3 linked regions of the Arabidopsis thaliana genome follow. The protein of the gene in region 3 interacts with the protein of the main gene of each other region in a pairwise test. Each region holds a gene or a part of one and is shown on either strand. Other genes may lie near its edges.

Region 1 (8,078 bases), on a different chromosome or scaffold from region 3:
TCTCTGCTATTGGTCAGGGGTTACTTGTGTTGACGGTAAAGTGCAGATTCTGTAAGTTCCTCTGTTTTAGACTAAACTATGAGAAGATGAGACCATTAGTGTAACTATGTTCTGATAAATGTTTTGTTGTGTTTTTTTAGGGATCTTAGCGGATATTCTTTGGAAGGAACGTTAGCTCCTGAGCTTAGCCAATTGAGTGACTTAAGATCTCTGTAAGGATCTTTTCTTTGATGACTCAACTCCGGTTTTTCCATGTTTGGTTGTTTTTTCTTGGAGTAAACCACTTTCTTGTCGTTACAGAATACTCTCTCGGAACCATTTCTCCGGTGGAATTCCAAAGGAGTATGGGAGTTTCGAAAACTTGGAAGTCCTGGATTTGAGAGAGAATGATTTGAGCGGACAAATTCCACCTGAGCTAAGCAATGGCTTATCGCTAAAACACTTGTGAGTTAACATTTCTAATGTTCAATTCTTAAGAAAATGTATTGAATAGAAGTGTACCTTAAATGTTTGTTTGCTACGACCTTGTTGAACTGATGTAGGTTGCTTTCTGGTAACAAATTTTCGGATGATATGAGAATAAAGATCGTGAGACTTCAATCTTCGTATGAAGTTCGGTTAAAGAAGAGTCCAAAGTTATCACCTTTGGCTGTTCTCGGCTGTATTAACAGAAAACTTGGACACTGGTAAGCTCTGTAATATATATTCTGATTCATCTAACACAAAGAGTGTTTTTTTGGTTATGCATATCCACCGTTCATCTTCCTTGACAGTGTTTCAAGAAACCGTATCATTCAAGTAAAAAAGGTAGAAGCTATTGTATTCCGGATCAAAGCAACCTCCAGACGTTTCTTGAAAGCATTCCCTAGTAAGCCAAAGACAGTTTGGATTCAACAAATTTAACGTAGAAACTAGAGATAAGTACTTGAAGGTGTCATTTCAATCTGATTCTTGCAGGCTTTTTGGAGGAAACTGATATCTACAAACGACGTGAGCTACTCGAGGAGACAAGTAATTTAGCGGCTGAGCCTGCTCCTTCAGCTCCTAGTCCTTCTCCCGGGATTATAACTGAAGCTTCACCTCGAAGCAGCGGGTCTTTCCCTGCAGTAACCAATGCAAAGAAGAGAAGACCACCTTTAGTCCCTCCTGTACCTTCTCCTGATAAGGGCAGTACTAGTCCTGATATCTCTAAGAATCAGCCACAAGATAATAAACAGTCAAAAGGATCAAAACATGTATGGCTGTATGTGGTTATCGCGGTTGCTTCTTTCGTCGGTTTACTGATTATAGTAGCGGTTATCTTCTTCTGCCGGAAAAGAGCTGTCAAGAGCATAGGTCCTTGGAAAACTGGTCTTAGTGGACAATTGCAGAAAGCTTTTGTTACCGGTAAAAAATCTTATTTCTCTTTGTTTCCATTTTTACTCTGTTTCTTTAGGAACATTAACACTGAAACTGAGAACAAAATGTAGGGGTACCAAAGCTCAATCGGTCTGAGCTTGAAACAGCGTGTGAAGATTTCAGCAACATCATAGAGACATTTGACGGTTACACTGTGTATAAAGGAACATTGTCGAGTGGTGTTGAGATAGCGGTAGCTTCAACCGCGATTGCTGAATCTAAAGAATGGACAAGAGCCATGGAAATGGCATACCGTAGAAAGGTTACTGCTTACTCCTTCTTAACTAACAAAAAACTAACTTAAAAGGTCTTATCATTATAACTTAAAAGGTCTTTTTGTAGATTGATACTCTGTCACGGATCAACCATAAGAACTTTGTGAATCTGATTGGATACTGCGAAGAAGATGATCCTTTTAATAGGATGATGGTCTTTGAATATGCTCCAAATGGAACTCTTTTCGAACATTTGCACGGTAACAACATTGGTCTTGGTCTTTTCATGATGTTATCTCGGCTTTCACTCTCTCAGTTAATAACGTTTTCCGCCTATCAGATAAGGAGACAGAGCATCTTGATTGGAGCGCACGGATGAGAATAATAATGGGAACGGCTTACTGTCTTCAACATATGCACGGGATGAACCCGCCTATGGCTCATACGGACTTCAATTCATCGGAAATCTACCTAACCGATGACTACGCAGCCAAGGTTTGCTCTAAAACTCTCAAACTGTTATTAAAGGTGTTGTTATTAAGCTGTATGTGCTCAAGAACCTCTGAAACTTGTATTACAAGTTTACGTTTTTAAGATGAATTTGCTCAAGAACCTTGAAACTGTTTTAGATGTTTTGTCTTTAAGCCGCTAAAAAGATTTGTTTAACCGAATTTACAGGTCTCGGAGATTCCATTCAACTTAGAGGCAAGATTAAATCCGAAGAAACACGTGAGTGGAGACTTAGAGCAAACGTCATTGTTACTACCTCCAGAACCGGAGGCTAACGTCCATAGCTTCGGAGTCCTGATGCTCGAAATCATCTCTGGAAAGCTCTCTTTCTCAGACGAATACGGATCTATCGAGCAATGGGTATATATATATAAGCGATAATAATCCCTATCTAATAATATAAAAAAAGCAGAGGATATCATCTATATACTAACGGTCTGGTCCATATTTCAGGCATCGAAGTACCTTGAAAAAGACGACTTGGGAGAGATGATAGATCCATCGTTAAAGACATTCAAAGAAGAGGAGCTTGAAGTGATCTGCGATGTGATACGAGAATGTCTGAAAACAGAACAGAGACAACGACCTTCAATGAAAGATGTAGCGGAACAACTGAAACAAGTTATCAACATAACTCCTGAGAAAGCTACTCCAAGATCCTCTCCTCTTTGGTGGGCAGAGCTCGAAATCTTGTCCTCTGAAGCTACTTGACCAATCAGAGGTTTCTCCTATTCGTTTAATGCTCTCAATCTCTCTATACGTTGTATCGATTTTTCTTTTTCTTCTGATTTCTTGGATCAGTTTTTCTTATATGAGCATTTGGTTTCTTGATTCTTCAACGTTCAGTTTGTTTTGATTAGTGTTTCCTTCTCTATGGATTTGATATATACGAGTTTCGATATGTGTTTGTATATTGCATAGTAGTATTATTATTTTTGTGATGATATATATGTGTGATTCTAATTTTTGAATATTATTAGGTTTCGCTTATATTTTAGTCTTTGATGTATAAAATTTGTTACTTCACATTCATATATTTCATGCATGAAATTACATTCTATTTTTCGTTTGAAGTTTTTAACGCAAGAGGCAGTTGATGGAAGTTAAAAATTTCATTCTTATTGTAATATGAAAAAAAAAAAAAACAGAACAGAGAAAATAACTCTTAAGTTTGTGTCAGGAGTGAGTGACATAATGTCTTCGGTTTCCCCACCGACGTAACTGAACCTGAAACGTAGCCGCCGCTGCCAAAAACTCAACGCATTGCGGTGGAGTTAAAATGTCTAATATACCTTTAAGCGTTTTCAGCCGCACACAATCCGCAGCCTTCACCATTTTCTCAAGACCCATCGATAATCCTCTCACCGCTGCCTCCACCACCATCACCGATTCTCCTCCGACGTGACATCCAAGCCTCGCCAGCTCTACCATTTTCCGATCAGCCATAGCCACCTAAAGACAGTTTCAAGTTAAATAACTAAAATAAAATGATTTACAAAATTTGTATTCCTACATTTCAGTATAGGTATAGTAATTACTGATAAAGGTAAACGGAAAATATTTGATTTAAGTCCAAAATTTACGGAAATGGCGACTTTTTTTTCTTTCACAAATTATGCAAACAGTAAAAAACTAAAAATAGATGAATAAAAACGTGATTCGAAGAAAATGTAATAGACAAAAACATATTGAATCATTCCACCATTCCGTAAAATATCAAGATCATATATGTTGTCTTTTATATCAAATAAAATTTAAAATTGTATCCAACTAGCACCACACAGATGAGTAATAATTAGGTCTAACAAAAAAATATTTTGTGTATATATATATATATATTAAAATTCGGTATCCCTTGTTTGAATAAACAAAAAAAAATATATAGAATATTTTTGATTTGACACTATTTTCAATATAATTTGCTTTTCGGTTTAAATGTTAAGGATTCAATAGAAAATTCATCAAAATTGCTATAACTTTAAAGATTTTTTTAAAAAAACATAATTTTCAAAGAAAATAGAGCAATCACTGAAAATAGCAATCCATTATTCAGTTAAAAAAATTCCGTTTATAAATAAATCAATGTTTGAAAAATAGTTTTAAAATTCTAATGAATCTAAATGTTGGACCCACCTGATACCGCTCCATCTCTCTCTCAATTTTTTGCTCATCGAACTTGGTCTTAACTCTCAGCTCCTCCAATTTCTTCACCTGAGCCTCCACAAGCACCACTCTCGACTTCCTCAGCCTATCAACCATCCGAAACACCATCGACGGTTTCCATCCGGTTAACCAAGAGCAAGCATTCTCTAACGGGTTTAACCAAACTGATCCGAAAAAAGCTAAGACATCTTCTCTTATGGCTGCCCATTTGGCTGTATAATAAGCTTTGTGATGTGTAGTTAGCTTCGAGATCAAATGTCGAAGCTCGGTCTCACTCATAGTGTTATTGTTATGAGCAATTAAAAGTTGATGAAGATATAGCTCAAGTTGAATAACCCAACTCTCATAGAACTCTAGGAACTTTTCTTCTACTAGGTTTCTCATTTTGCTCATTAGTGGTTATATTCTATAAAGAAAATTAGCATTTTGGAACAATATTTATACCTACGTCTATCGATATATACACAATGCATATATGTATATCCCCAGGTGCATGCATGATGTTTCTGTAATAATAATTTATCTATAATATATTTCGGAATGGTTTTATATTACCAACTCTACTTTGTACGGAATAACGAAATATAGAAAATGAATCAATAGTAGAGTTGAAATGGTCGAACACATATTTATTATTAAACCGAAAGAACTTAATATGTAATTATCATTTGGTCACCAAATATTGCTTAACATGAGTTTTGAAATTTTGAATCTCTTTTATTTGGTTTTTTTTTTTCTGTTTTGATTTTAAGTAACCTTTTAAAGGGTACCAGTTTGGGAAAATTTAAAAAGACAATAATTAATATGTGATTTGGTATTCGTAAAATTCTTGTACAATTCTTGTACTAATCAGATACTCATATTTTATTATATGCTAAGTCACTATGGCCGGTGGGTTGTCTTCCCTTAAAATTTTAATACAAAATCCTATCAAAAAAGCTTTAAAAAAAAAAAATTTGACGTTATTAGTTCTGAGGACCTCTACAATGTCGACATGCAGCATGTGAACGTATATCTAAGATTTTAAGTATAGAGATATGTATATAAAAATTGAATGTACATAAAAACTTATACGTGGATATTTACGTTCATCGAAAAGATGATTAAAATATACATTAATTAATTAATTCTTTATACGAAAGAAATATTAAAACTTGAAAGAAAAGACATGACAGATGGAAGAGAAGGGAGATTACAATAGTTGCATGGTTACGCGCATCACTGGCCGACTGCAAATATGTGACGTTTTGCAAAGTTAGTAAATAGTCTTTTAATTTACGTAATTTTATATGATGAATTTAAATCAACTCATGCTTAGTATTTTAATAAAACACTGATATATGTTTTCCAAAAATAACAAATGAGAACATTCATTCAACAGCTACAGAAATTGATGTATTGATAAGATCAATAAAAATGGAATATAATAGTAAGATCTTTCTTCAATGTGAAGAAGACTCGAAAACTAGCTAAGGGAGGGTTTTGACCTCTGAGAGACCCGAAACGGCAAGTCACAGAGTTGATGGCTCATGTGGATCCTCGTGTCGTTCGTTTAGCCATTATTAGCGTCAACGTGGAACATATCTTCCACGTAAGTTACCCAGTCAATCTCCACTAGCTAGTGTATGTATATGAGAATATGCAATGTATATAGTTTTGCTTATCTTTATAATAATATGTGTAATAAAATCTACAAGGAAACCATTTTTTTGTTATATTTTGATTTTGTCTTTTAATGTTATTTTATCATGGTTTTAAATAGATTTGTACTAATTCGAATTAAGAATTTATTATAAACACGGAAAGCATATTTCAGAAAATATATGATTTGTGTAAACTCTAAAGTAAATCATTTTAGATTAACTATAGAAACTGAAAATCTAATTACTAATTATATTAAAAAAAAATATTATGATGTTTATCTACTAAAAAATAAACCCCAAAACGGCTAATATATGAATATAACAAATAAATAACGAAACATGCAGATGCAGTACTATTGTTTCGGCCTTTTGGGTTGGGTTTGGTTTAAACTTTAAACAGATAGAAGCCGACAATTTTGGGACCAGTACAATTTCTTAAATGGACTTTTTCTTTTTCTTTACTTCCTCTACTAGGCCTTTAGTGGGCTGCGAGACAAATAAACGGAAGTATAACTTCTTCTAACGTGTTATAAAATTCTGAGTGTGGTATGTATGGGTAGGTGAGCTCATATTCATATTTTCTTGTCAACAAATTCTCATTTGGGAACTGATTGCTCATATGCATATTTTATTGGTGCATTTACTTGGATACTTTAAGAAAAAAGTGCCTAAAATAAAAACGAAGCTTATATAATGAGGCATTGAGCAAATTATACAAGAAGACATCATTAAGAGTGGATAACCTCATAAGCAGCCTCCCAATGCGCATTGATCGAATTATACATGAGTTGACAAATAATATACATCACAAAGCAAAGCTCGGACGAGTAAAAGTAAGATAAATGAGGCGATGACGCGATATGGTTGGTACTGTTCCAAATTGGAATAGGTGGCATCAGTGGCACGAACAAAGTGATGATTTGCTCAATAAGAGCAATGGTCGGACAACTAGCAAGAAGACTACAGTCATAAACTTTGTCAACACTATTTTTGAAGTTGTGATCGGAGTGCAAAATGGTCACCTCTAAATAAATGAGTGGAATCTAATTGACCCCATTTTTTTTTTGTGAAAATGGTAAATGAAGGAGTTGAATATTTTTTTCAAATAATTTCTTCTATTTAATTAATTCTTTTAGTTGACTAAAGTTAAATTATTTTCTATATTTAATTAGTTGATTTATTTAACCTACTTTTGTTCAAAAATTATTTCGTAATTTGCATCATTCTTTCTATCTTACTGATCAATGTAAACAGTAATTAGGGTCAGGTAATAGCTTTGGGCCTTTTACAAATTCCAATAAAACTCTTTCCAATTCTAAGAGCATCATTATCACGGCTTCTTAGGATATAACTTTAATGTTTTTAATAATAAATTTGTTAAGAACGTCTCTAATATAAGAGCCAATTAATTAGTTAAGAACGGGACAGGTGTCGAAATGATAAGAGAAAAATATAAAACAAAATATAACCGTGAGCCGAAGAATTATTTTCTTCTTTCTCTCTCTCTTTCACGATGCTTTCCGTTACTTCGGCGAGGATATTCGACGATTTGTGTTCAATCAGAAGGATTCGTCGTCAGCTCAAATATCGGTCTATGAAGGTATGAATCTCTCTGCATGTTTGAATTGATTTTGTTTGAGCCTTATAAAATTAGTTATAAGTAGGGTTTATGAATTGGGAAAATTATGTGTATTCAATTTTTGTAAAATAGGGTAAGTTCATACTTTAATTTGATTAGTATTTGTTGCCATACGAATGATTGTTATATTTATTTGAGATATATGTGTTGAAATTGAAAAGATTTTGATCAAATCTCTCCGTTTTATTTTGATCTTTATATGGATGTATATGGAGAGATGATTTTGTGATGGAACTTTAAAACGATGCTCTTAGGAGAAGACTTACAATATGCCTCTGAACAAAATCCAATCTTACGTTGTTCAGCCTAGAGTGGAGCAAGCAACGGCTTGATTGGTATGTGAATTTTCATGATCTGCTCCAAGCTGTGTCTATTGACTTCTCTCCAAACGAAAGGACAAAAGATGTAGATACCACTACTAAGAGTGATTTCAAAAGTGAAGTGGTTCAACGATATCGACACCCTCTTGAGGATCTCTAAGCTCCATTGATTTCTATTCTTTACCAATTA
Region 2 (7,143 bases), on a different chromosome or scaffold from region 3:
AATGTGAAATTGACATTTTACTTTTATTGTGAACAGCACCTTGGGTGGTAGCCATGGAGTCCCTAGAGTACATTTCAAAGGCAGGCAAGGAGACTATTATGTCATGGTACTGGATTCCCCCTTTCTCCTATTTCTGTTTTTTTCTCCTGTCTGTATCATTGAAGTTAGATCCTCTCTTCTTTGTTTTGGCCTCAGGTTATGGACATGCTTGGGCCTAGCTTATGGGATTTATGGAATACTTCAGGGCAAGCGTGAGTCTCCATTACACATCCTTGGGGAGCTCTTGTCTCTTTTTCAATTAGCGTTGTTTCCATACATGAGTATCCTAAGTTAATTTGGATTCTTTTGGAATTGTGACTTGAAATGTGGTGTTACTCCCTGTTTTTAAAAAAATACATAAGTCCATACTGAGTAACATTTTGCTTTTAAAAAATCGACTTCCCTAACAATTCTTCTCCCCCTTTTTGCTTTGCAGAATGTCCTCGGAAATGGTAGCTTGCATTGCGGTTGAATCACTTTCCATCCTTGAAAAGATGCATGCAAAAGGGTTTGTAATTGAACTTTATTTTTGTTTTTGTATTTAATTAGGTTGTCCGAGGTTTCTTCTGATATCCTGTTTGGAGTCTCGGCACCTCTAAGTTCTTATGTTTTCTCTCTATTAACTAGCCTAACAGGTCATGTTTTACTTCGGTTTCAGTTATGTGCATGGGGATGTTAAGCCAGAAAATTTCTTACTCGGCCAGCCTTCAACGTCTCAAGAGAAAAAACTGTTTCTTGTTGATTTGGGACTAGGTTGATTTCATTCTCTTTGTTATTCTTGCTAGGTTCTTCTTTACCTTTCTCATTTTTCAACCAACTTTTCAGCTACAAAGTGGAGAGAAGGTGGTAGCGGACAACATGTTGAATATGATCAACGTCCTGATATGTTTAGGTAATATATTTTCTACTGTTACCTAATATAATTTGTTTTATACTCGCTCTTACCTTTTGTTGAATCTCTCTCTTCTTAATTTTTATAGAGGGACAGTTAGATACGCAAGTGCACATGCTCATTTAGGGAGAACTGCTAGCAGAAGGGATGATCTGGAATCATTAGCATATACACTGATCTTTCTTCACCGAGGTAGATTGCCATGGCAAGGATATCAGGTACTGCAGACCTATCATTTTGTTTTGTAGAATCATGTTGTTGCATGATTCTTTCTCTGCTAATCCTGTCTCTTACTCAATTTTCAGGGAGATAACAAGTCATTCCTTGTTTGCAAAAAGAAGATGGCAACATCGCCGGATATGCTTTGTTGTTTTTGTCCCCCTCCTTTCAAACAATTTCTTGAGATCGTGGTAAATATGAAATTTGATGAAGAACCCAACTATGGAAAGTTAGTATCTCTGTTTCAAGACCTCTTGGGCGAAAATCCGGCAATTAGGCCTATAAACACAGAGGGTGCTCAAAAGGTGACATTTTCATGCTGTATATCTTTCCCTTTCGTTCCTATTTGGATATCTAGGAGTTGTTGTTTAACATCTTGTAATTGTTTTCTTTTGTGCTAGATCATATTCCAAGTTGGCCAGAAGCGAGGTAGGTTGAGCATTGGGGAGGAAGAAGAAGATGCCCCTAGGAAAAAGGTCCGTCTAGGAGTCCCTGCAACGCAATGGATATCGATTTACAATGCCAGGCAACCAATGAAGCAGAGGTAAAAAAATTCATGGTTAATTATTTATACAGTCAGTTAACTGCTGGGACTGCGTTTGTGTCTCATTTTTTCTCTTGGTTATATTATAATCTTGGATTTTTGGCCTTAATGTGTCTAAAACTATTTTTGGACTCACAATTTATGTGTTTAACCAGGTATCATTATAATGTGGCTGATATAAGACTGGCACAGCATATTGAGAGAGGTATTGCAGATGGTTTGTTGATAAGCTGTGTATCATCATGTTCGAATCTCTGGGCATTGATAATGGATGCTGGAACTGGCTTCACGCACCAAGTCTATGAACTCTCTCCTGTATTCTTGCACAAGGTTGTCTGATGTTTCTCTGTTAGTTATTTTTATATCTGTGTTCTGTCAAGATGATCTTACCTGAGAGTGAATTCTGTTTTGAATCAGGAATGGATTATGGAGCAGTGGGAGAAGAACTACTACATTAGTTCTATTGCTGGTGCAAGCAATGGAAGCTCCTTAGTTGTCATGTCAAAAGGTATCTACACTTTTCATGAATACTTTTGAACACTTTCGTCATTATGGTATTTTACTAGTCTCTGAATTTGTGGCTTATTCTATGTTTGGTTTTCAAATGAATTATGAAGGTACGCAGTATACACAGCAGTCTTACAAAGTAAGCGATTCATTCCCGTTCAAGTGGATAAACAAGAAATGGAGAGAAGGCTTCCATGTAACCTCAATGGCAACAGCTGGAAATCGATGGGGTGTTGTTATGTCCCGCAATTCTGGCTACAGTGAACAGGTTAGACTTCACCGATATAGATGAATTTCTTCCGTTTCCTTCAGTTTTGGATCTGTCGCGTTGATTTCTAATTCTCCTGTTTTCGCTTATATCTCCTCTACAGGTTGTGGAACTTGATTTTCTGTATCCAAGTGAAGGCATCCACAGGCGTTGGGATGGTGGATTCAGAATCACATCAACAGCAGCCACAACCGATCAAGCTGCTCTCATCCTAAGCATCCCACGTCGTAGACTTGTTGATGAGACACAAGAGACGTTACGTACCTCTCAATTCCCCAGCACACACGTCAAGGTGAGTAGAGCAGCTATAAAAGATTACTAATCAATATCTTGAACTCTTTTTCTCCCTTCCCATGAACAATACCGGAGATGCAATTTTCTGTTGTGCAGGAAAAATGGGGAAAGAATCTCTACCTTGCATCGTTAAGCTATGGCCGAACTGTATCTTGAGACTTATTAGTAAAAACTGTTGAAGGACGAGAGAAATATGTTTCTAAGTCTCGGCTCCTATTCCTTATCCAACCCTATGGCCTCTCAGGCTCTGTTGTGCTTCTTCTTTTTTTTCAGTTGAATTGTGAAGCAAAAATGTGGTGATTGTGTTGTTTATTCCCCCCTTGTGAAGGGGATTGAGCCATAATCACCAGTTTACCTACACATTTCCCTCGAAATTGCTATATTTAATTTTTAAATCAAGAAAAGATATTTTTGTCACCAAATATTCTATAGTTGTCCAATTCTGTAACCTAATTATCGAATTCATATCGAAACAGGCTGTTCTCTCCATACACGACCTGAAACCTTCAACTTCAGCTCCTTGTCGGTGGTGTTGTTGTCGGTAGAGAAGAACAAAGCCAATTTGCGAGTGATGATTAAGCCATCTTGACTATCACGAACCGTCTTGTGACTGTCACGAATGCTCCTCGGCACGCCTTGCCATGTCAGCTTTCTGCCATTCCCTCCGACCTGCAAACTATAGCTGAAGCTCATTGCCTCTTCTTCATCTCCCATAAACTGCATGAAGGCCATGTACATTGGTGTTTTCCTCAGGTGAAACGCTTCGAAGTACAAGCAGAATTTTCGACCACAACAATCGAGAAGCTGCATCGTTTCAAGTGGGTTAAAACTTAAAAATTCACAAAGTTGCAGAAACAGAGCAAGATAATCAGTTATATAACTTACTGTTAACATCCAAGTAGCATGATGAAGATGTTTAGGATCATGATGAACATATCTGTGACTGAAACTACGCCCATCACTCATTTCAACATTGTGATCATTCCTTAGATGCAGTAGTAGCCTTTGAATATCTCCTGTGACATCACACTTGGCTCCTGAGTGTGGACAATTGTACGGTTTCTTCTTAGGGTTTTCGATGTGGTCGTTGGGACACTGCAATAGGATCTGTATATTACTTGTTGTGTTCTTATTGTAGTAGTATCAATATGATATGATATACATACCTCGTAGATTGCAGAGGATATCTGGTTTGTATGAACCGGAAAATCGAGCAACTCATGAACCCGAGATTCCACCTGAAGGTCATTGATTCGAGGTTCCATTTCGCAGGAATTAATGAATTCACAAGCCAAGTGATGAAGTGAAAGAGGAGAAAGGTGTACGTTTGTACATATGTACATACAATCAACCACATAGATACGTTTACGTTGTGTCAAGTTTCAACGTCCAATAATTGGAGACAACGTGGAGTAAATGGTGGATATAGGAGTTGGTTCCGGAGATTACGTACGTCAAAGAGCTTAATTGTAGGAGAGAAAATAATACAAACAAAAAAACATATAGTAACATGACTTGGGATTGAAATTACAAATTAGTCAAGGTTCTTAGTTACACGACACTCTTGAGTTGGAGTTGTCATAGCAAGTATCCAATTGGGTCTTGCAAGTTGTAACCATCCAAATCAAGATGCCAAGTGGACAAATGTCTCTTAGCCAAATCAAATCATTGCTACTGATTGATCTTTTAGTCACTCATGGTCAAGCTAAAGAAATTGCATGAGAAAAAAATAAATTTCCAAAGATGAAAGATCTAGCCTGCAACATTACATTGATTACTCTGTTTCTGATTAACTCAAAACCGCAAGATAACAGAATCTAAACTACAGGACTTTCGGATGTGAATAAAAGCTAAAAAGAACGATACAATCCGAGCTTCGTTTATGTCTCTATCCTCCTGGAAACTTGTTGTAAGATGAGAAAAGAAAACTGTCATAAAGGCAATGAAAGACCTGCAATTCCAAAGAAAAGATTCATGTCAATCTATTGAACTAACTAAGCAACGAAACTCTATCAAAACCAAACTTAGAAGTAATGTGTGATTTTATCAGTTCAGATCCATACACAAACATAAAAGGGTTCAACTTCATCAGATTTACAAATGATGATGCTATATGATCACATACTTCTGTTGCTGTCAAGTTTATCAAAGGAACTTATGTACATCCTTATCCGTAGAGCTAACTATCGGATTCAAATTGATGCATCATCACATTTATCGCCATATACACAGTACAAAGGATACAAATTGCAACACAGAGAAACAACAGAATGTGTTGTGTGCTGATACACCTATGTAAAGTAAACCCAAATGGTAATTCCAGTGCTCAAGAACAAAACAAAAACTGACCTTGAGGAACTAATCCCCAGATTTTGGATTCAACGGACAAACTTGAGACGAGCCTGGACGATGCTATAGCACTGTGCAGAGGTATCATCGAGCTCAACTCCACTGGTAATCTGAAAACAACCATCCAACAAGTTCATCAAATTTGTAATTTTGCTTAGAAAGATTTTGACTTTGTTGATTCAGATTTCAAAATTATCAGCAAGTAATCTACATTGTTGCAGACCCATTGATAGTGAGGAAAAAAGAAGGTTTTTGTCTTCTCCATTTGATAGTGTGAAATGATACAAAAGACAAACCTTGAAGATCGATTGAGACGACAACTAGTTGCTGAGGAAGGTGATGCAGATTTGATGGGAGAGGGGAGTGATGAAACATTGGCATTCTTGTTGCTGAGATTTTGACATAGAGACTTTAATCGAGACGAGAATCTGCCTAACACTCTTGAAGATGCCATTGCCAGGAAGAAGCAAAATTCAGATGTGATCGGAGATTTTAGGGCTTAAAGGGTTCTTAGTGAGCTAGGTCCCGGGTCGGGTTACAGGTTAGTTTACGGGTCGGGTAAGTAAATAACTGAAAAAGCCAAAATTATTTGATAAGAAGACCGGTGTCGAATTTAGGGCTGGAAGACAATTCTCGATCACTTCTTTTCGCAAATTCTCTTGAGTGTGACAAAATCGGAAACTGCGAGCTCTGAATTCGTAACCCTTGATGTAAAAACTCAATCTTTCTTCCCACTGTTCTGTTTTGTTCTATTTTCGATCGAACACAAAGTTGTTATTTTTCGAGCCCTTTATCTTTGTAATAACTGATTCCGTTTTCATTGTATATGTCTGTTTATTGAAGTTTCAGCTGAGGAATCAGTTACGAAATGGGAAGCAGAGGTAATCGTGTGGGAGAAAGATGGAATGAGATGGATTGTGATGAGAAATCGAGTGTGATTCAGGAAGAGATCAAAAGGGTTTGTAAACTTCCATCAAACAGTGTTTATGCAGTTCATCGTCTCAAGGTTCTCAACAAAATCAACGACCTTTTATCTGTCCAAGTAAGTCAATCCTCTTCTTCTTCACATTACTACTCTATATGAAACACCTTTGAAACTAACTAACTTATGTTTCTTTGTTGGACAGAGAACATTGTCTCAAGAGAAGGAGTTGGAATTGCTATTCACACAGCTCTCCTTGTAAAATCCAGATTTTGATGTATAAGGAACTAATGTAATATAACTTTTTACTCGAGATTGCTTGTTGATTAATGACATGGCAACAAGCTAGTTTCTTAAGAAGTTGGTGTTTATTGGTTTTAATTGTATGTTTTAGTTTTCCCTTTGTATTGATCAATTGGATGAGGATGCAATGAAACGGTTTGAGTTTGAAGTTGAGAATAATATACCACAGTTTGTGGGATGAGTTTCCTTTAGGCCGTAACATATTTCCCGATAGTGACACTCGGATGATGAAAACCCACAAGTCGCTCAAATTGGAAGTAAATGGCACATTCAGAGAAGAAGTGAGACGCCCATTAATCGTTAGGAATGGAGTTGTATATTGGTCTTGCATTCAAAGAAGCTATGTTTTGAAGTGCGAGAGATGGGAGCAATCCAAGCTAAGCTATAAGCGTGGCATGGGTGGAATTGTCCTTGGCGCGAATGTGGGAGAAGGTTTGTGAATGGTTGCATTTGTGTACTCCAAATGGGTAAATTCAAGATGTTAAAAAGGTTGTTCAAGGATAAAGCTGAGGGAAGACTCAAAATTTATGCCTAATTTCATTCAAGAGTTTAAGAAACCAAAACACAGAACACGATGCATCAGACCACCAAACCATCAAACAAATGAAACATTTCCAATACCTCGAGTGTTTTTTTATAAACAGAGGCAGTAAATGATTCTCTTAACTTATCTATCTATTTCCATATGGACTCCTACATCTAAACAACTAGTATGATTTTAGTTAAAGGCCGAGCTGATTGTATCACAAAACCCCCCACTTCTTTATAAGCAGATAAATAGCAAAACACAAGTTAATGATCGTTCA
Region 3 (8,607 bases):
GAATAAAGAGTAATACCACCTACCTGTAGAGAAATTGCGAAATGCTGGACGAATAACGCTGTTGAATAAAGAAGACGAAGCAGAAGCTCGAGCTCTGCATAACGCCACAAGACCTGACATGGAGGGACTGCTGCTCTAAACAGTATAAAGGTAGGGTTTTTAAGCACTACAGCTCCAACAACCTATCCAAATAAACACAAATAATTAACAGTCTGGAACTGTACATATCCTTGAAATTAGGGCTTCTACGCACTACCCACATACCTAAATCGTCACGACCGATTTTTATTTAAAATTCCGAATCAGAAAACTGTACAATATCACTAAATCCGGTCATTTCTTGCAATGATAATTTGAGCTATCAATCTACTGGGTTAAGTAATGGCTTCGTATAATGATGTAGCATGAGATCGGGACAAACCTGCAGTATGCCAAAGTCCTCGAAGAAACCTTTGCAATTTGAGAGAGAGACTGATCGAGGAAGACGACTATGGGTGTGTGAGAGAGAGCCTAAATGCCTAATTGTTTTAATTAAAATCGAGAAGACAGGCCCAATTCATTAATACAAGCCCAATACACCAAACCCACTAGATAGGCCCAGCTCGTTCTATCAGTGTTTTCTACACCATGTGCAGGCGCGAGAAAGGAAGAACAGAGCACGTATGTAATAAACGTCTCCATTGTAGAATCACTTGAGATTAAATTTTCTAAATATGAATTAACACATGATCGTTGAGGATGTGAACTGCGTTTTAGGTTCATTCATGTAATTGATAAACGCCAATGTGAAACACAAAACATAACTAAGCTAACGAGAGACCACAATGATATAAGAAGTCCAATAAAAAGACGGCTCTATTCAAAAGTCTGATCCATCAGTTATCAAAAAGCACACAAAACAAGTCTTTCTTTTTTTTTAATTTTAAATAGACATTTCAAGATCGGAGATTTAGTAACTATGACCATTCTGTCTCTGCAGCACTTTGTTTCCTTATTCCTGTAAGAAAATGAAATTAATATTAGTGAGCAAAAACGATCATAACGTTCAAGCTATAAGCAAAAGAAAAGAATATATAGGTAAATAACCTCATCGTCGTCATCATCATCTTCCTTCTTCAGACGGGTCTCTCCACCTTCCTTGATAATAGGAAGCTTCATAGCTCCAAATGGTGTATCAACATCAATATTACCTTTGATTGTGTACCCTGTTCCTTTACCACGAATCATATCCCAAAGCGCAGAACCAAAGTCCTTTGGTCGGAATGTCATCGGCACATTAATCAATCCGCTTCCGTTTTTGTCAAGCTTGATCGAGTCCGCGATCTCTGCTTTCCCAATGCTTACATCACACAGCCAAACTTCACAGTCCAAGTCATTGAGCCCCAAGTCGAAATCATTCATGTTCTGAAGCCTCACATGGAGAATCGCCACGGTTTCCTCCAAAGAGAACTTCTGGAACTTAATCTTCTCGATATCAACATCAGGTTTCTTTGGAATTGGGATCTCTCCACATTTCTCCAGCGGCAATGTCAGTCTTCCCAATACTGGCACATCCACAATCAGATCAACCTTGATTCTGTAAGGTATGATCATCCCGGGGTTGATATCGTTGTAAGTGCTCTTGATGTCATCATAGATCAACGTCAATGGTATCTTCACAGTTTCTTCTCCATGAGCCTTGAGTGTTCCAGCATCCGGGATCAAACCAGAAACCAGTTTCCTCCCATCGCTCTCGACCAGGTAGTTGACATCGATGAGAGGGATAGGAACTGGATTCGGGTTCTTGACAAGCACATCCACAACAATATCTGCCCTCTCAAGATTGATCTTAGGGATATGAATCGCAGAGACATCAGCAGTTGGCTTCCCAAAGCCAATGGTTCCCTCGAGTTTCTCACCAATGTCATGAATGAAATCTTTCACCTTATCGAGGAATCCACCTTTCCCTTCTTCTTTTTCCTCGTCCTTATCCTTCTGACTTCTATCGACGATTTCCACGTCACCCTCCTGATGAACTACTCTACTGATGATTTCCGGTTTATCCTCAGATGTCGACATGCCTCCTAAGCAGCAAGAAAAGTCAATTAGTGCCACAGAAACAAAAGCTTAGAGTATCAAAGAATAGACAAAACTTCAAGCATTCAACGCCGAGAGTAGATTCATCAATCACAGCAGGACAATGGTTGTAAAAGTCAAACAAAGTGTAATCACAGTTTTTAGTAGTTGTAAGAGGCTATAATCACCAAAACAAAGTTTCTCACCAAAGACCATAGAGAACTCGCATCACATTAGATATCATCAACTAGGATCCTAGTGGAATATCCCAAACCAAAGAACATACAATGCATCTCTGTACTAAGAGACAATGATCATATCACGTGAATCAAGAGGATTCGTGGGAAATACAGATCCGAATGTTCGATCTACACATGATAGCACTAGATCAACCTAAATGTCAAACAGATCGGAGAAACAAAAAGCTCGATCTAATTACACCACCTTTTTCCATGTATTCCGATCAAATCATGAAGGATCAACGCAAGAACAACAATGAAGAGAAATAAAACTTAGTGGATTTGATTTTTACCTGGATTGGATGAATGTGAGTCACAGAGACAAAGAGAAGAGAGTGCTCCAAGAGTCACAAAATGATTATAGATTGTGGAATTGGTTGATCCGTTGAACTTTATATTAACTATTATCAATGTGACGCGTAATCTTCGCTCGCCGACAAAATTTTCGTCGTGTAAGATCCTTATTGGCTTTTAAAATTGACATCCATTTCGACACCTCAATTTCAAGATATTACAACAAAGAAGATCACATTTTTGATTAGTACAGAAAGACCCCCAAAATTCGGAGGAATTATTATTATCATACGATTCAAAAAAAAAAAACAAGGCCAGAAGCTTACAAAAGCGTTTAAATGATTTTGTAACCAAGGGTAAAACATTTTGACAATCTTTGAGGTACAAACAATTTCAGAGACTGGATTGTAACCAAATGGGACAACATCAAGAGGTTCTCATACGTGATCATGTTCATCCATCGAACGAGCCGAGCTATTTCAGGTGGTGCTCAAACAACGACGCCATTTCGAGCTGAAAAACAAGAGGAAGAAATATTCAAAGACTTTACCAAAAAGACATAAGAACCCGAATGGTTATAACATGACCAGTTGCTCAATGGAATGATCAGGAATTTCTACATCTTATTCTAACAATAAAGGATTGAATCATAATGATACTTACCGCCGTCAAAGCAGTTTCAGCTCCCTTATTGCCGGCTTTGCCACCAGATCGATTCAGAGCCTAGAGTTTCAGTTAACCACAATATTAACAAATTCAGTGTTCATCCATTATGATGAATAAGCTATATATCATCAACTCTTGCATAACACAACTTAAACCTGATCCATGTCCTCGCAAGTCAGTACACCAAATATGCATGGAACGCCTGCAAATTGGATTTTTTATAAGCTTTAATTACTAGAGTCAATAGTGCGTAAACACAAAATTTGAAGAAGTAATTCATGATGAGGGAATTTAAACATCCAAAATCCAAAGAAAAGCAAAAATGAACTACCCGCTCTTTTAGGTTCGGAAGTATACAAAATCAATCTTTCAGTGTTTCCAAAACAATGTCAAATAAAAATGTCTAAAGATGTATATCCAGCAAATAAGTATCGAGGTAAACCTGAATTTATGCTAGCAGAAAGTACTCCAGACGCAGCAGAGTTGGCAACAGCATCATAATGTGTGGTATCTCCTCTTATCTAAACCACAACAAGGACAACAGTAATATCAAAATCCAACTCTTTAAGTATATGTTATCAACATAAAGCAACTACTTTCTGAAGCCATATGAGGAGAAAAACAAATGGAATAGCCTGAGATTCTTTCAAAACAAGAATCATACCACAGCGCCGATACATAAAACAGCATGAAATTTTCCCGATTTCCCAAGATTTTGTGCAACAACACCAATTTCAAAGCTGCCAGGAACCCAAATAACCTGAATAAAAACAGTGTCATTAGCTTTGTGAAAGCTCATAACTTTTTATTCTGTTCTACAAGCAAAAGACTTTTACTTCAATGTCTTCTTCTCTGACTGAATACTTCTTGAAAGTCTCAATCGCTCCTTCCAAAAGCAACTTAGTCACAACCTCATTGAAACGAGCTACCACCTTGAGAAAGAAAAATGAATCAGAACCAAGTCAACACTGCAATTGAGCTCAAAGTTTTCAAATTTCACTGTAAATCAGAACCAAGTCACTAAATCTAAGCAGCGCACAAAGTAAGAAAGCGATTCTGAGAACTCACGATGGCGAATCTAAGACCTTCGCCTCTGATAAGAGACCCCGTAACATGGCGAACAGCAGCCGTCTGTACGAATGAAGAGCGTAATTCCTTCTCTACAGCTAGTGGTGACGCAAATCCTAACACCAAATGTTAACATCTCAATCACGAAATTGCGAAAAAACGATTTGAGTTATTATAAGAGAAGTGAGAGAAAGCAAGCTTACCGGATGTGGATGAGGAGAATGAGAGATTATTGGATTTGTTCACAGAAGAGCCACCGTGTATATAACAGGCGGAGGAAGATTGACGCGAATTGAGCTGACGGTGTGCCGTCGGTATCAGGCGGAGACACGGCGGCGAAGCTAATGACTTCATTTTTCGTTCGTCGGAGTTTTAGAGACGGTTCTTCGTTCTTCAGGTTAAGAGTGAGACTGTGAGGTCCATTAGCTTATCAAATCGGTTCAAGGCTTCCGGTTTATTATTTTCATTAAAATTACGGTTTCATTGAATCTATTAGTTTGGTTAGAGATTTCCGGTTTGATGAAAAGGGATAAGCTAAACCCTACATCCCCAATCACTCTCACCGGCCGGAAATTTTCAGACAAAAGTGAAAGATTTAAACTTTTGACTCCGTCGTAACAAAGAACAAAACTTCCGTATCCTGGAGAGTAAATTCCTTTATGGCTACGAATGGGTACGTTTCGAAACCTACGAATTTCACGTTTTGATTGACGGAGATGAGCTTTAAACTCTTTAAGAGGATTCTATTGAATTTAAACGATTTGATCACAGGTTAATGGCGTCGTCCAGTGTGTTTCTTCATCGCCCGCGTATCGCATTTGCTTCTAGAACGAATCAGACTGTAGGAAAATACGGTAAAGGCCGTGTTAGTTTCATGGGCATTGGGACACGTCGTCTTCCGGTGGTTTTATCCATGACGGCGATGGCGGATTCCGGTGAGGAGGCCGTGAAATCTGTTTTGCCTGGAAATGGCATATCCATCATGGTAAACCTGATCATCTGATGATTTCTCTTAGACTCAAAGTTGTGAGATTTGACTTTGCATTACCATTTAAGTTTGAAATGTAGAAATGTCAAAGCTTGTTCCTTTTGAAATGGGGATTTTTATGTTGGATTTAGCTATATTCATTATCTCTTATTCTACAGGTGAATGGATGTAGTGGCAAAATGGGGAAAGCTGTAATTAAAGCAGCAGACTCTGCAGGAGTAAATATTGTTCCCATATCGTTTGGATCTGCTGGTGAGGATGGTCAGAGAGTTGAGGTCTGTGGAAAGGAGATTACTGTGCACGGTCCAACTGAAAGAGAAAAGGTTCTTTCTTCGGTGTTTGAGAAGCACCCGGAGCTAATTGTTGTCGACTACACAATTCCCTCTGCAGTAAATGGTAAACTTCAGAATCTCTCATTTCTACCATCAAAAGACAATTGTATTCTAGATTTGTTGAAGTTATGGTTGAATTCTGGTTGGCGGAACGATCCTTGATTGAGTTAGTTTAGAATTTGTGCAAGTGAAAATCATCTGCTAGAAGTGTTTTTTTTGTCTATTGTTTGTTGATTTCAAGTTTGGTATTCTCGCAAAATGTAGATAATGCGGAGCTGTATAGCAAAGTAGGTGTTCCTTTCGTCATGGGAACAACTGGTGGAGATAGGAACAAATTGTATGAAACTGTTGAGGAAGCAAAGATTTATGCTGTGATTTCTCCACAGATGGGTAAACAGGTATGTGTACTTGAATGTTTCTGGAAGAAATGATTACTTATGCATGTAAGTTAAGATCATTTTTGCTCATATTTGTGTGCTTTGTTGGTCTATAGGTTGTAGCATTTCTTGCGGCCATGGAGATCATGGCTGAGCAGTTTCCGGGAGCCTTTTCTGGTTATTCCTTGGATGTACTTTTCTTACTTCTTTTATACATTCAAATTCTTTTTTCTTTCTCTGTTAGTTTTATATTACTTCTTGCTACATCTAATCAACTGCCAATCTATATGTAGGTGATGGAGTCTCATCAAGCTAGCAAATTGGATGCATCCGGAACAGCAAAAGCTGTTATTTCTTGCTTCCAGGAATTGGGTGTGTCTTACGACATGGATCAGGTGCATTGGTCATCCTTTATTGTTTACATCTTGGCAATCACTTAATTTATCCTCGGAATGTGAATTTTCTGTGTATACAACTTTTGTGGCAGATACAATTGATTCGGGATCCAAAACAGCAAGTGGAGATGGTGGGTGTACCTGAGGAGCATATCTCTGGTCACGCTTTCCATCTTTATCACTTGACATCACCCGATGAAACGTAATGCAATATCTAAGATATTGTTTATACTTTTCTTTGTTTCCATTGTAAAAGTGTCTCTGTTCCATAACTAGCTCCCTTTTCTTTGTCTTTCTTTGCAGTGTCTCCTTCGAGTTCCAGCACAATGTCTGCGGCCGATCAATTTATGCTGAGGGTACTGTTGATGCCGTGCTCTTCCTCGCCAAAAAGGTTCTAAAGCTTGCTCTTATTGCTCATCATGATTCTGCGAAATTGAATCTCAGCTTTCTCTGAGTCTCACCGCTCTTCTCTATAATGCTAATTGTTGATTCAACACTTTTGTGAAATGCAGATTCGATTGAAAGCAGATCAGCGAATCTACAACATGATCGATGTCTTGAGAGAGGGAAATATGCGTTGAGCTTTCGAGTTTTGCCAGTGCATTGACCAAATGGTGGTTGTAGAAGAGCTGAGATTAGATTTACCAAATCATCAGCTGTGAAAATTAGATGTTTGGTTTCCCACTTCTTCTGCCTTGAGCACAGGCTTTTGAAATTCCTTGGTATATACAAGAACTTGCCATTGTATTGTTCATGTTTTGACCTCTTTACCTCAATGTTATTCTCCTTTCTGGATCATTGAAGTGAAGTCTTATTGATCAAACTTCTCCACAACAATTCTCAGACAAAGTAAAACCTAAATTCATCAAATGGACCCTTCACTTACCATTTGATGATTCAACATCTAAAATGAGATCAAGTGCATAATCATAGTAAGGAACTTGACCACTCAATCCGCAGAGATTGAAATCATCTTGTATATAATCTTAATCGACAAAGTTTATTCAATCTGGTGTTGTTAAGATTTTTGGCTTTTATTGTTATTCTCATTGAACAAATGAGTCACTTCGACTGTTCTTGGCGGTATGCATTTTAGGGCAGGCAACTAAGAAGAACTCCGGGGAGTCTTTTAAATGTGTAACAGTGACAGCTTATTTGGGCTTTAAATGGGCTTCTCATGAGACACCAAAGAACGGTTTTATGTTCCATAGGCCATGAGAAACAAATGAGGGAAAGTAAGCTCCATCAATGTCTGCAATAAGCATTAAGGAAAGAAGCTGCTGGTCTTGTTGGTAGTATATATCCATATAATTAGCAAGACTTGTGAAAGTATATATTCAGTGTCGAGCAAGTGTCACTAATTCATAATGCAAAAGGAAGGAATTGGAATCTGAATCGGATTCAGATCCAGGCAAGGTAAACACATTCTCAGACCATTCAATGACTCCCCAAACCAACTCGCGCTCAAGCAAAATTAGTGCACACCAAATCTCCGTTTTACATTCCTTAGTATACGTCTTCCACCAAACTGTCACTCTCCTTCCTCCGCCAGGGCTTGCCACCGAAAGAAGATAATTACAAGACAATTCTTCAAGTCCCCCAACCGTCCAATGCCACGCCATAGCGCCACGACAGCGAACTAGTTTGAGTTTCCCATCGGAAACCGATGCTTGGAAGTCTTGGTTATCGATCTTTAGCATGCAAACATTTGGACACAAGTCAAGCTTGTCCATGGGTGTATTGTAATCAAGCGTGTCCATCGTTGTAGTGTCATAAACTTTTCCACTAATTAGGAGGCCACAATCAGGAAAAGCTATGCCATCCTTTATTAGAGCACATGGAATCACACCCTCTTTGTTCAAGGCACCTTCCGGAAATGGCTCCCAAGTTTGAGTCATTGGGTCGTAAATCTCTCCCCAGTTTACGCTGTTATGGTACTCGCTGCTGCATCCTCCGTACACATTGATCTTACCGTCAATCACATTAGCGGCTGCTTCTTTTCGAGCTATACGCATTTTAGGGAGTCGACGCCATTGATGAGATTTACAATCGAGAACATAAGCTCTCCTGCTTCTCTTTTCCTTTGCGACGAATCCGCCCAGCAAGTAGATCTCTGAACCAGTTGAGACAACAGTTGAGCAATTGGGATGTGGATCTGGGTAAGGAAGAGAAGGGAGTGGTATCAGTTTATGT

The links.
Region 1: the proteins of COS1 (region 3) and AT4G18650 interact in binary tests that used the Arabidopsis thaliana proteins (3 or more experiments, as listed by UniProt).
Region 2: the proteins of COS1 (region 3) and AT3G13672 interact in binary tests that used the Arabidopsis thaliana proteins (3 or more experiments, as listed by UniProt).

Annotation. Positions count from the first base shown.
Region 1 is NC_003075.7:10,260,744-10,268,821, forward strand, and holds AT4G18650 (transcription factor-like protein), read right to left. Parts: upstream 4,697-8,078; 5' UTR 4,680-4,696; coding exon 4,257-4,679; intron 3,576-4,256; coding exon 3,300-3,575; 3' UTR 3,226-3,299; downstream 1-3,225. Other genes in the region: MRH1 (Leucine-rich repeat protein kinase family protein), read left to right, coding at 1-51, 141-212, 301-444, 543-686, 774-868, 958-1,386, 1,470-1,660, 1,741-1,873 and 3 more.
Region 2 is NC_003074.8:4,470,316-4,477,458, forward strand, and holds AT3G13672 (TRAF-like superfamily protein), read right to left. Parts: upstream 4,050-7,143; 5' UTR 4,029-4,049; coding exon 3,930-4,028; intron 3,859-3,929; coding exon 3,226-3,858; downstream 1-3,225. Other genes in the region: AT3G13670 (Protein kinase family protein), read left to right, coding at 37-106, 196-251, 476-547, 698-792, 865-931, 1,020-1,149, 1,237-1,455, 1,552-1,694 and 5 more; AT3G13674 (uncharacterized protein), read right to left, coding at 4,695-4,714, 5,113-5,222, 5,409-5,566; AT3G13677 (uncharacterized protein), read left to right, coding at 5,981-6,154, 6,242-6,292, 6,487-6,777. UniProt on the Arabidopsis thaliana protein: Probable inactive E3 ubiquitin-protein ligase that plays a role in regulation of autophagy. Upon starvation, involved in maintaining ATG6 homeostasis by competitively associating with ATG6, a component of the autophagosome complex.
Region 3 is NC_003071.7:18,220,373-18,228,979, reverse strand, and holds COS1 (6,7-dimethyl-8-ribityllumazine synthase / DMRL synthase / lumazine synthase / riboflavin synthase), read right to left. Parts: upstream 4,768-8,607; 5' UTR 4,677-4,767; coding exon 4,526-4,676; intron 4,439-4,525; coding exon 4,323-4,438; intron 4,187-4,322; coding exon 4,091-4,186; intron 4,015-4,090; coding exon 3,919-4,014; intron 3,776-3,918; coding exon 3,697-3,775; intron 3,457-3,696; coding exon 3,410-3,456; intron 3,312-3,409; coding exon 3,252-3,311; intron 3,102-3,251; coding exon 3,063-3,101; 3' UTR 2,747-3,062; downstream 1-2,746. Other genes in the region: AT2G44065 (Ribosomal protein L2 family), read right to left, coding at 24-120; AT2G44060 (Late embryogenesis abundant protein, group 2), read right to left, coding at 992-997, 1,087-2,058; AT2G44040 (Dihydrodipicolinate reductase, bacterial/plant), read left to right, coding at 4,982-4,995, 5,094-5,307, 5,469-5,706, 5,907-6,040, 6,136-6,210, 6,313-6,414, 6,507-6,616, 6,718-6,805 and 1 more; AT2G44030 (Galactose oxidase/kelch repeat superfamily protein), read right to left, coding at 7,752-8,607. UniProt on the Arabidopsis thaliana protein: Catalyzes the formation of 6,7-dimethyl-8-ribityllumazine by condensation of 5-amino-6-(D-ribitylamino)uracil with 3,4-dihydroxy-2-butanone 4-phosphate. This is the penultimate step in the biosynthesis of riboflavin.